Solanum lycopersicum: one gene and its partner. The protein of the gene in region 2 interacts with the protein of the main gene of each other region in a pairwise test. Links are inferred from orthologs where the notes say so. Each region holds a gene or a part of one and is shown on either strand. Other genes may lie near its edges.

Region 1 (4,316 bases), on a different chromosome or scaffold from region 2:
AGAGTAATTAAAAAAAAAAGATGTATTGATGAAAAAACACCAACTACATAATCCAATGACTTAAACAAAAGTATAACACATCAAGTAGGTTATATGATACAATCCAATAAAAGCTCCAAATCTAATCAAGAGTATTTTATGGGTCTCACTAAAAGGAAGGTGCATTTCTCAATTTTGTCTTGTATCTTTCTATTCTTTTAAAGTGTCTAAAAGAGGGACCTCATGGAATTATGTCGAAAGATTGTAACTATTTGTGCGATACAGCTAATCGTTCAGCCGATCAAGGACTTCTTCACAGACCATATATGAAACTTAAGTGCTTGCTAAGATGGATTGGAGCTTTCCAAGTTAAACAAATACAGATTGAAATCCAAATACATACAAACTATTGCCATTAGATGGAAGTTCCTTTTTCAGTGTTTATTTAGCTTATACGGTGTAACATTTAAGCATTCGTAGTTATGAACCATTTCCAAGACAACCAACTAATTCAGCACATCTTTCCAAATACCTAATAGATTTAAAATCATCAAAAACACTACTACTTAGCAACAATAATAGTTATAGAGAGTGATTCCAGTAATATAAAGATTACTTGACGTTAATTTGTGGGGTTACCAATCAACACAATTAACGAGAGAAACATGGAATGAATAACCTTTTCCAAAACTCAAAAGTCTTATATTTTAAACAATCAAAGCATGAAACATAAACTCAACTAACTTTGAGAAACATAACACCCACACATAAATTGAATTCAAATGAAAGCTTATGTTGAAAAAGACTTGATCAAAAGAAAGATAATGTAATAATCTGCTCCTTACAACAACAAACTGGTGTATCCAACGTGCAAAATCACCTAAGACTGGTTGGTATATAGCTATCTCCGCCACCCCCTCCCTTTCTACCTCAGTATACTTACAAAAGACCCTCAACACAAGAGAATCAAAAAATTTACTTCATAGAGTGTCAGAAGTAAAACCAAAGTAATATAATTTTGAAATTCATATTCACCATCATAATATATGCAGCTTCAATACAGAAAACTAGGGTTAATACATTATTATATCTTGAGCTAGTCATCAATTAATCTGTGATTGGCACATGATAGAACAAACAAAACCTGCACATGAATAGTAGGGGAAAAAAGCTGGAACAAGAAAGACATATTTCCCAGGGTCATTCCAAATAAAGAACAAGACAAGTTGAGTTTATTCAGCATACACAAGCATCCAGTTTGAAATGATTAACAAGGGACAAATATATCTTGCTGTTTACACTTACAACTAGCACCACACAAATATTATGAACATGTAGAACAAGAACCAAAATAAGATAATTATTCTTTTTCTTTAATATAAATTCCAGGTAGTATCCCTGGCAGATGTATTTCATTGAATATTGAGACAGAAACAAAACTATTTTAAAAAATCATTGTGAAATACAAGAAGGTAGAGTAAATTGATAAAAAATTGAAAATAAATGGTCTGCATATGGAATTGAGCTTATTTTATTAGTACATAATAATTAATTAATGACTGATATCATTGGAAACATGCACATGCAGAGGACATTAATTTATAAAAGAATAAACTCAAGTAAACAGTTAGGATCTGAAAAGAATAAATGTCACCATTTTAAGAAATGAAGAAAAAAAATTTGATATATATATATCTCACCAGATTCATGAGAAGAATTAGGTGCAAGAGTTAAAGCTTTGAACTGACACTCAATTCTTGAAAGAAAAACCATGGCTTCCTTGAAGGGTTTTGAGAGTTCTTGTTCATATTTTGTCAGCATCTCACAATAAGCCTCCATGAACTGATCTAGTGCAGGATCTTCTCCAATGATTCCACCACCACTACTACTACTGCTACGGCCCATTGTTGCTGACGTGGCACATATTTCCTCTAGCCTTGCCACCACTTCTGGCGGAGCTCCTATCTGCAGTTGTTAAAAAGAAGAAAAAAAAACTAGGTTTTTTCAGCTACTGTCCCTTTCACACACATGATTTTGTTTTCAGGGTTTTTTATTGAATTGTTGCAGAGAGTCACTTTCAAGGTAGAAAAAATCATCAAAATTTCAAGAAATACTAAAACCCATGTTAAAAAATATAATCTTTGAATTGTTGAAAAAAAAATGAATTTTTTTTTGTTGGTGTTAATTGGGGGGGGGGTGAATTTCACCTTTTGACAATTGAGATAAGCAGTCAAGAGACGATGGTAGTGAGGATGAGCCATAATCTTTGACTTGATGGAAGAAGAAGAAGAGTTGTTGTCTTCTTGAGGATTATTGTTGTTGTTGTCCATGAAAGGAAGAAAAAGGATGTTGTTGCTGCTTGTTTCTGCATTGTTATTGTTAGTTAAAGAAGGAGGAGGAGGAGGCATCATCATCATCATTGGAGGAGCACAAATTGTTACATTTCCATTTCCATTTCCATTACCATTTCCATTGTTGTTGTTGTTGTTCTCATGATCTCCATATCCCATCATCATTAAACAAGATGTACTAGTATTTCCACTAGAACCACCCTCCATTATTCTCTCACACACTTTCTTCTTCACTCTAAATTTTGTTCCTTTCTATTTGTTTTTGCCTATGAAAACCATCTCTCTCTCTCACACACACTGAGAAAAAAAAAAGAAATGGAAAAAAACCTCTGTTTAACAGTAAATCTCTCTTCTCTTTTTTACGAGGGTGTGTGTGTGTAAGTGATCTCCCGAGTTTTATGCTTACTGATATCAGGCTTTTTCACAGCAAATCCTTAATGGAATACATAGTTAGCAATACTACTAGTCAGAAAAAAAAGCAAACACACAATATTCCTTTTTTCTTTTTCTAAAAAATAATTAGTAAAAAACAGTGTATTGTTCACTTTTCTTTTCTTTTTTTTTTCTCTCTATAGTGTTGTAGCAAGAAGCAAAGACTATGAAAAACATGAACATGTTAAAGGGTTAGCTTGTATTTGGGTGCAAAATTTTTACCTTCCCAATGAAAACTCATACCCCTTTTTTCTTCACTGCCACTGAAACACTGTCATTATCTGCCAATATCCCTCCTCTCCTAGTGAGAGAGAGATATACAGTTTAATTTTTATTTTTAGATTAGAATGATCAAATCGAGGTGCAGTGTAATTTCTTCTGTGTTTTTATGTGTTTCTTGGTTTTTGGGTTATTGGAAAACAGACAAGAGTGAGAGTTCCTTACCAATATTATAACTTGAGACCTATTTGTCCCTTAATTGAATATGATTCTTTTTGCTTTGCTTCTTCTTTCAACCACTAAATTAAACTTTATATCATTATTTTATATTAAAAATTAGATTAGCGTACACATTATATTATACTAGTAGTAAATTAACAAAAATACTACTTTTCAAGAATAAAACGTGAAGAAAACTTATCTTTTTTAGAGGGAGAGGGGAAAAAAATAGACGCACAACAAAGGTGTGAATTGTGATGTGAGTGGATATAGCAGTAGAAAATCTTGAGATTCACATCTTTAAGAGACTAAGCTCTATGGTAGGTCTGACCAAAATCGATCGGTAAGTAAATAGTTAAAAGATCAAATATATTAATATTTTGAGCAATTAGAAAGATTAAATCCTATAAATGAATAGTTAAGAAACTATTTAAACCCTACTCGAATAGTTAAGAAACCGTCAATGACATTTTCTCTAGATTTTGGAGGAAGAATTTTTAAAGAAATTACAAATTGTTTTTTGTTCATAAACTTTAATCAATTTTTGACAATTTACATAAATTTGGATGAAATTTCATTTCACTTATCCTATGTATTGTTTTAAATCCTACAAAAATATTTCACACACCATTCAAACTTCAAAAACTGATATTTTCAAATTTCCATCTTAATTTTATAAGCACTTTCAAAATAAATTACTTAGATTGCTAATCACCTAAAAAACATTAAAATCAGACAAAATCATAAGTTGGTCATGTTTAATGTATAAATTTTCATTTATAAATATTTTAAATTTGATAAAATATATTTTAATCAATTTGGAATAGATTAATTTCTTGACTTTTTATTTGCATCTTCGAGAAACTTTTATCCCAATTTTTTTTTTCTAATTTTCAAAATACTCTTTCCAAATTGTGATGCTAAATCTCTTCCATTCCATATATCTTCTGTCGTAATCTTTTGTGTATATGTTTTTTAGTATTTATAATTTTTTAAGTAATAATTTTAAGGATATTTTAATTATTTTAAGGGAAAATTTAATAGTTTTCTTTTTTTTAAAAAAAAAGTTCAGGTTAAAATTCTTGAATAAATGAAAAGGAAAAAAAAATCTAACGA
Region 2 (4,360 bases):
AGAGACAAGAGCAAGCCAAGAATTTTCAAAACAGATTGTCATAAAACCGAAAACTAATCATCAAATGCTTGTCAACTCACCACTTGCAACAAAGCTACCAGATTCTTTTTCTTAGCTTCACAACCCATCAGACCATCAGGTGAATCATCAGAACTCATGGCTGCATAGCCCCTTCCAGCATCTGAATTCAAAGCAAATGAAGTGTTTGCACCATTCTCCGTCCCATTTCCTCGATAGCCTACCAAGTTATGATTTTGAAGTGATAACTGAGCAATTTCAGAGAGTATTTCTTGCATTACACGGAGATATCTTGATCCAGTTAAGAATTGTGAAAGGTAGACAGGTTTGTATGAACCAAAGCTTAAAGACAGATTTCTGCTGTTGCAAGAAGTTAACTCTGAATCAAAGCGTCTTTGAGGGAAAGCATGGTTGGTTACACCGGAGCAACTTATATCCGAGCATTGGTCCCGGATAGTAGTCCCACATGCAACAGCAGATTGTGATGTTGTGAGACTTAGACAGAGGTCGTTGCTAAATCGGGAGGATCCAGAGGGACTATCAGAACTCAAACTAGCTGTTTCTGATGAGAACCATGTGTTTGAATTCACATTTTCAGTTAATTGGAAAGGCTGAGATCCTGCTCGTCCTACAACCATCCCACCAATTTCCGAAACACCATCAAACTCATAGTTTCTGTAGGATCCAAATGAATGATTCAACACATTAGGATAGTCTAGACCATCCATTTTCTGGCCTTCTGTAGGATGTGATAACGGAGCTAGTACCGCTAAATTTTCAGGATTCTCGTGCATAGCGTTCCTTGCAGCCAAAAGATTAGCAAGAGACACAGCAGAAATTGGTATACCTTCCATATATTGATCATCTGCGTAAGCATTACTGATTGGATAAGAAGTACTCACTGAATACTCTTTTATTCTGTTTCTCCCAACCGGCAACACATTATGAATTGCTTCAGTGTCAACAGGTCGAGGAAAATTAGGTACATTTAGAAAACCATGAGAGGTGTTTACGGCTTCACCTTGCAGCATAAAAGGATAAGGAATTCCATGTCCATCCATGATCTGGTTTTGATTGTTCATACAAACTGTTTCGGGAAAACTAATGGGAACAATAGTCGTATGAAGAAAATTTTCATCTATAATCCGAAGAGGCTCTGCCATTTCTAGTTGAAATTTGAGTTCCACATCACTTGAGGATTTTCTATGAAACAACAAAGACAAGTGATCAAGCTAACAACAGCAGCTCAATGAAACCTTGATAGTTCACACTTGTATACTTTTGGCTGAAAAGAATTGCCTATAACAAGAAAAATGTTCTATTAATACAACTTAGATAACATCTCGAAGGATTTTCTAGAACAGATGGATGGTAGAGGAAAACACCTCTACTAAATTTGATCATTTACATCCAACTAGTTGACTCAAAAAATTGCTTTAAACACTAAGGATGGGACAAGACATTTTCTCTTTTTTCTTGTTGTATAGTCATTACCATCCAACTTTTTTTTTTTGGTCTCTTTACATTGATCTGTCTATGTTAACAGAATTATTAGGCAGAATCATATCAAAAAGTTCATGTGCCTAAATATTACTATTTCAGTCCCACAACCTGATCTTGAATAACAGTAGAAAAAAATGGAAAACAGGCAATCTGCTGTTTGATGTACAAAAAACAAATATAGAGAGAATCAAACATACATATTTCATAACTCTTAACTCAGAACATACATCCATTAACTTCCATAAATCTCCTTATAATGGAGATGGTTAATTTGCCAAATTCAAACTAAATTGCATAGACTCTTCACTTTCCATGCCACGCTCTAAAAAAATATACTACAAACACATGTCTTTTGATATCTTTGAAGAGTCTAAACAATATACGTTAAAATAGGATAAATGAAACAAACATCATGTCAAAACAACAATTATCAAGGTTACTTCTCCTTTAGTCACAAATGAAGTGAAAGTGTTAGTCATAAATATGGGACATGTCAAGTAGTTAGATAGTTAGCTTATATGTACTTAATAATAGTAAAGCAAAGAACATGAAAGGGTTAAAAAAATAAAATTGTTTCACCAAATCATAATTGAGCTTATAAAACACATCCAAAATAATAATAATAATAATAGTAGTGAAAGAAAGAAGGAAACCAAGCTTGGTGCCAAACTTCCACAAACTGCAGCTTCTTCAAAATTCCTCTTAAAATAGAATTCCAAGGTTGTTGCCAAATCCAAATATAGAGAAAAATTTAAAACAAATCATTGGGTTTTTTTCCCTTTCACCCCAAACAATGTTTAATCAAAAGACCCCTTTTTCTCCCCTTTAACAATAATAAAAATAAGAAGGGTAAAAAAAAGAAAAGAATAATGGTAGGACTAGTACAATATATCAACCCCACAACACAAAACCCACCCCCAAAAAACTACAAAAAAAAAAAAAAAAGCAATGCAAAAAGTAAGATGTTTTGCTTGCATGAGGAAGAAAAGCAAGATTTTTATTCAGAACCCAACACCCAAGAAACTCAGAAAATTCAGAATCACCATCTTCCTCACAAATACATTATTTTATTAAAAAGAGGGTTTCTTTTTTTTGTTTTTTTGGGGGGTCATTATCCAAAGGGCATGAATAAATCACAAAGAAAAGGGGTAAAGAATGTGTGTGTGAGTGAGAGAAGTGTTAAAAGCCAAAAAATGTGCTTGTTGGTTTTGCAGAGAGCAGCTGAGAGATGAATAATTACATGGATTTATGGACCCATTATGAAAAGATAGCTAAGAGAAGAGCCACACAAACGCAAAATAATCATTCACATTTCATGCAATACTATACAATTTTGCAAAAAACATACTATAGTGTGCCTCATTTTGGGGCCATTTCGTTTGGATTCAACCCAAATATAACGTTACACTGAGTATGTACATTTTTACTTCATAAAGATCGAATATATTGAGTATGTTATTATTATTTAATTTATGCGTACTACAAAAAAGATAAATTTATTGAGACAGTCATGTTTTTGAACTAGTCCAATTTTAACTGAGCATATAATCACGATAAAATGTTTTTGTTATGTATATTCTTAAATATTTATCAAGTAAATAAATTAAAATTTTGCCATTTACACATTTGTGTCAATATAAAATCTCCAAAAAAAAAAAAAGATTAGTTAAGATTGTAGAATATAACTAAAGGAAACAATTTCATTTGATTAACTTAATTACATAAGAAAACGGACAATCGTAAATTTAAACGAAAAGGGCTCAATAGGAACACTTTTACTTACCAATTTCCTCTTAGTCGTCTCCATACTAATTACAACCCTAGTGTGTAATGCTTTTAACTTACCTTAATTTTGAAAAAGGTAAAAGTGATCAAACCTTAATTTTGAAAAAGGTAAAAGTGATCTAATTGATGAAGTATATCGGATGCTATATTCCACACAAAATAAGATTTTATGTAAAAAAAATTTGATTACATCCAAAGTATTTTGACATTATAAAAAAAATTGATTATACTTAATATGCGTTTGGCCATGCGATATCATATCAACGACATGGTATCGTGAAATGTAATCAGTATTTGGACATGTCATTTTATGTTGATTTCATTATATGATTCCTTATCATGAGATGTGATATCATATCCTCCAAAAACCATGATATCGAATCACATGGTGATGCCATATCATGATTTGAGATGTTATAATACAAAATGGCCAAATACATAAGTAGATCCCTAAACTTATTGGATTTTTTCCTTCATGTACCTCAACTACGTCATTTTCCTATTGAATTATTGAACCCCCATAATTTATTACGTCTAAACAAATACCGTTGTCTGATGTGGAATCAGATTTGTGAGGGGTATTGATAGAGGATACATATGTTGTTCCACAAATCATTAGTCCAATTGATAGTGAAAATGTTTGAAAATAATTGTGTTTTACTTTAAGTCATTTGAACACATTAGAAAACAAATGAGACTAACACAGTTTGTCTTTATTCTTTCAATCAAAATTGTTACAATTCGAATACAATTGAAGACATTTACAATAGAAAAGTTGATCAAAATCAACCAACAGTGTTTTAAAGAAACAAATTATGGGTGGTTCAATGATTCAATTGAAAAATGACGTAGTTGAGGTACCTGAGGAAAAAAATCCAACAAGTTTAGGAATTTGTTTATGTATTTGGCCATACAAAATTGATCCACGACTTTATATTTTGTTAAAACAACCCCACCTTTATAACTACTAACCATTTATTTTACATGTAAATAAAATTTATGATCACATCATTATATTTTTAAATTTATTATTCTCATCGATATAAAATTTATT

The links.
Region 1: the proteins of homeobox protein ATH1 (region 2) and T6 interact in binary tests that used the Arabidopsis thaliana proteins (3 or more experiments, as listed by UniProt). The link is inferred for Solanum lycopersicum from reciprocal best matches to the Arabidopsis thaliana genes ATH1 and STM.

The regions. Positions count from the first base shown.
Region 1 is NC_090801.1:61,370,706-61,375,021, reverse strand, and holds the start of T6 (homeobox protein knotted-1-like LET6), read right to left. Parts: upstream 2,837-4,316; 5' UTR 2,538-2,836; coding exon 2,187-2,537; intron 1,945-2,186; coding exon 1,680-1,944; intron 1-1,679. UniProt on the Arabidopsis thaliana protein: Required for shoot apical meristem (SAM) formation during embryogenesis. Negatively regulates ASYMMETRIC LEAVES1 (AS1) and ASYMMETRIC LEAVES2 (AS2 or LBD6). Probably binds to the DNA sequence 5'-TGAC-3'. Binds to RNA.
Region 2 is NC_090807.1:54,833,815-54,838,174, reverse strand, and holds the start of homeobox protein ATH1, read right to left. Parts: upstream 2,822-4,360; 5' UTR 2,175-2,821; exon of another isoform or gene 1,318-2,174; 5' UTR 1,182-1,317; coding exon 81-1,181; intron 1-80. UniProt on the Arabidopsis thaliana protein: Transcription factor which may be involved in the signal transduction pathway downstream of the COP1 gene. Controls floral competency as a specific activator of FLC expression. Is responsive of the nuclear import of SHOOT MERISTEMLESS (STM).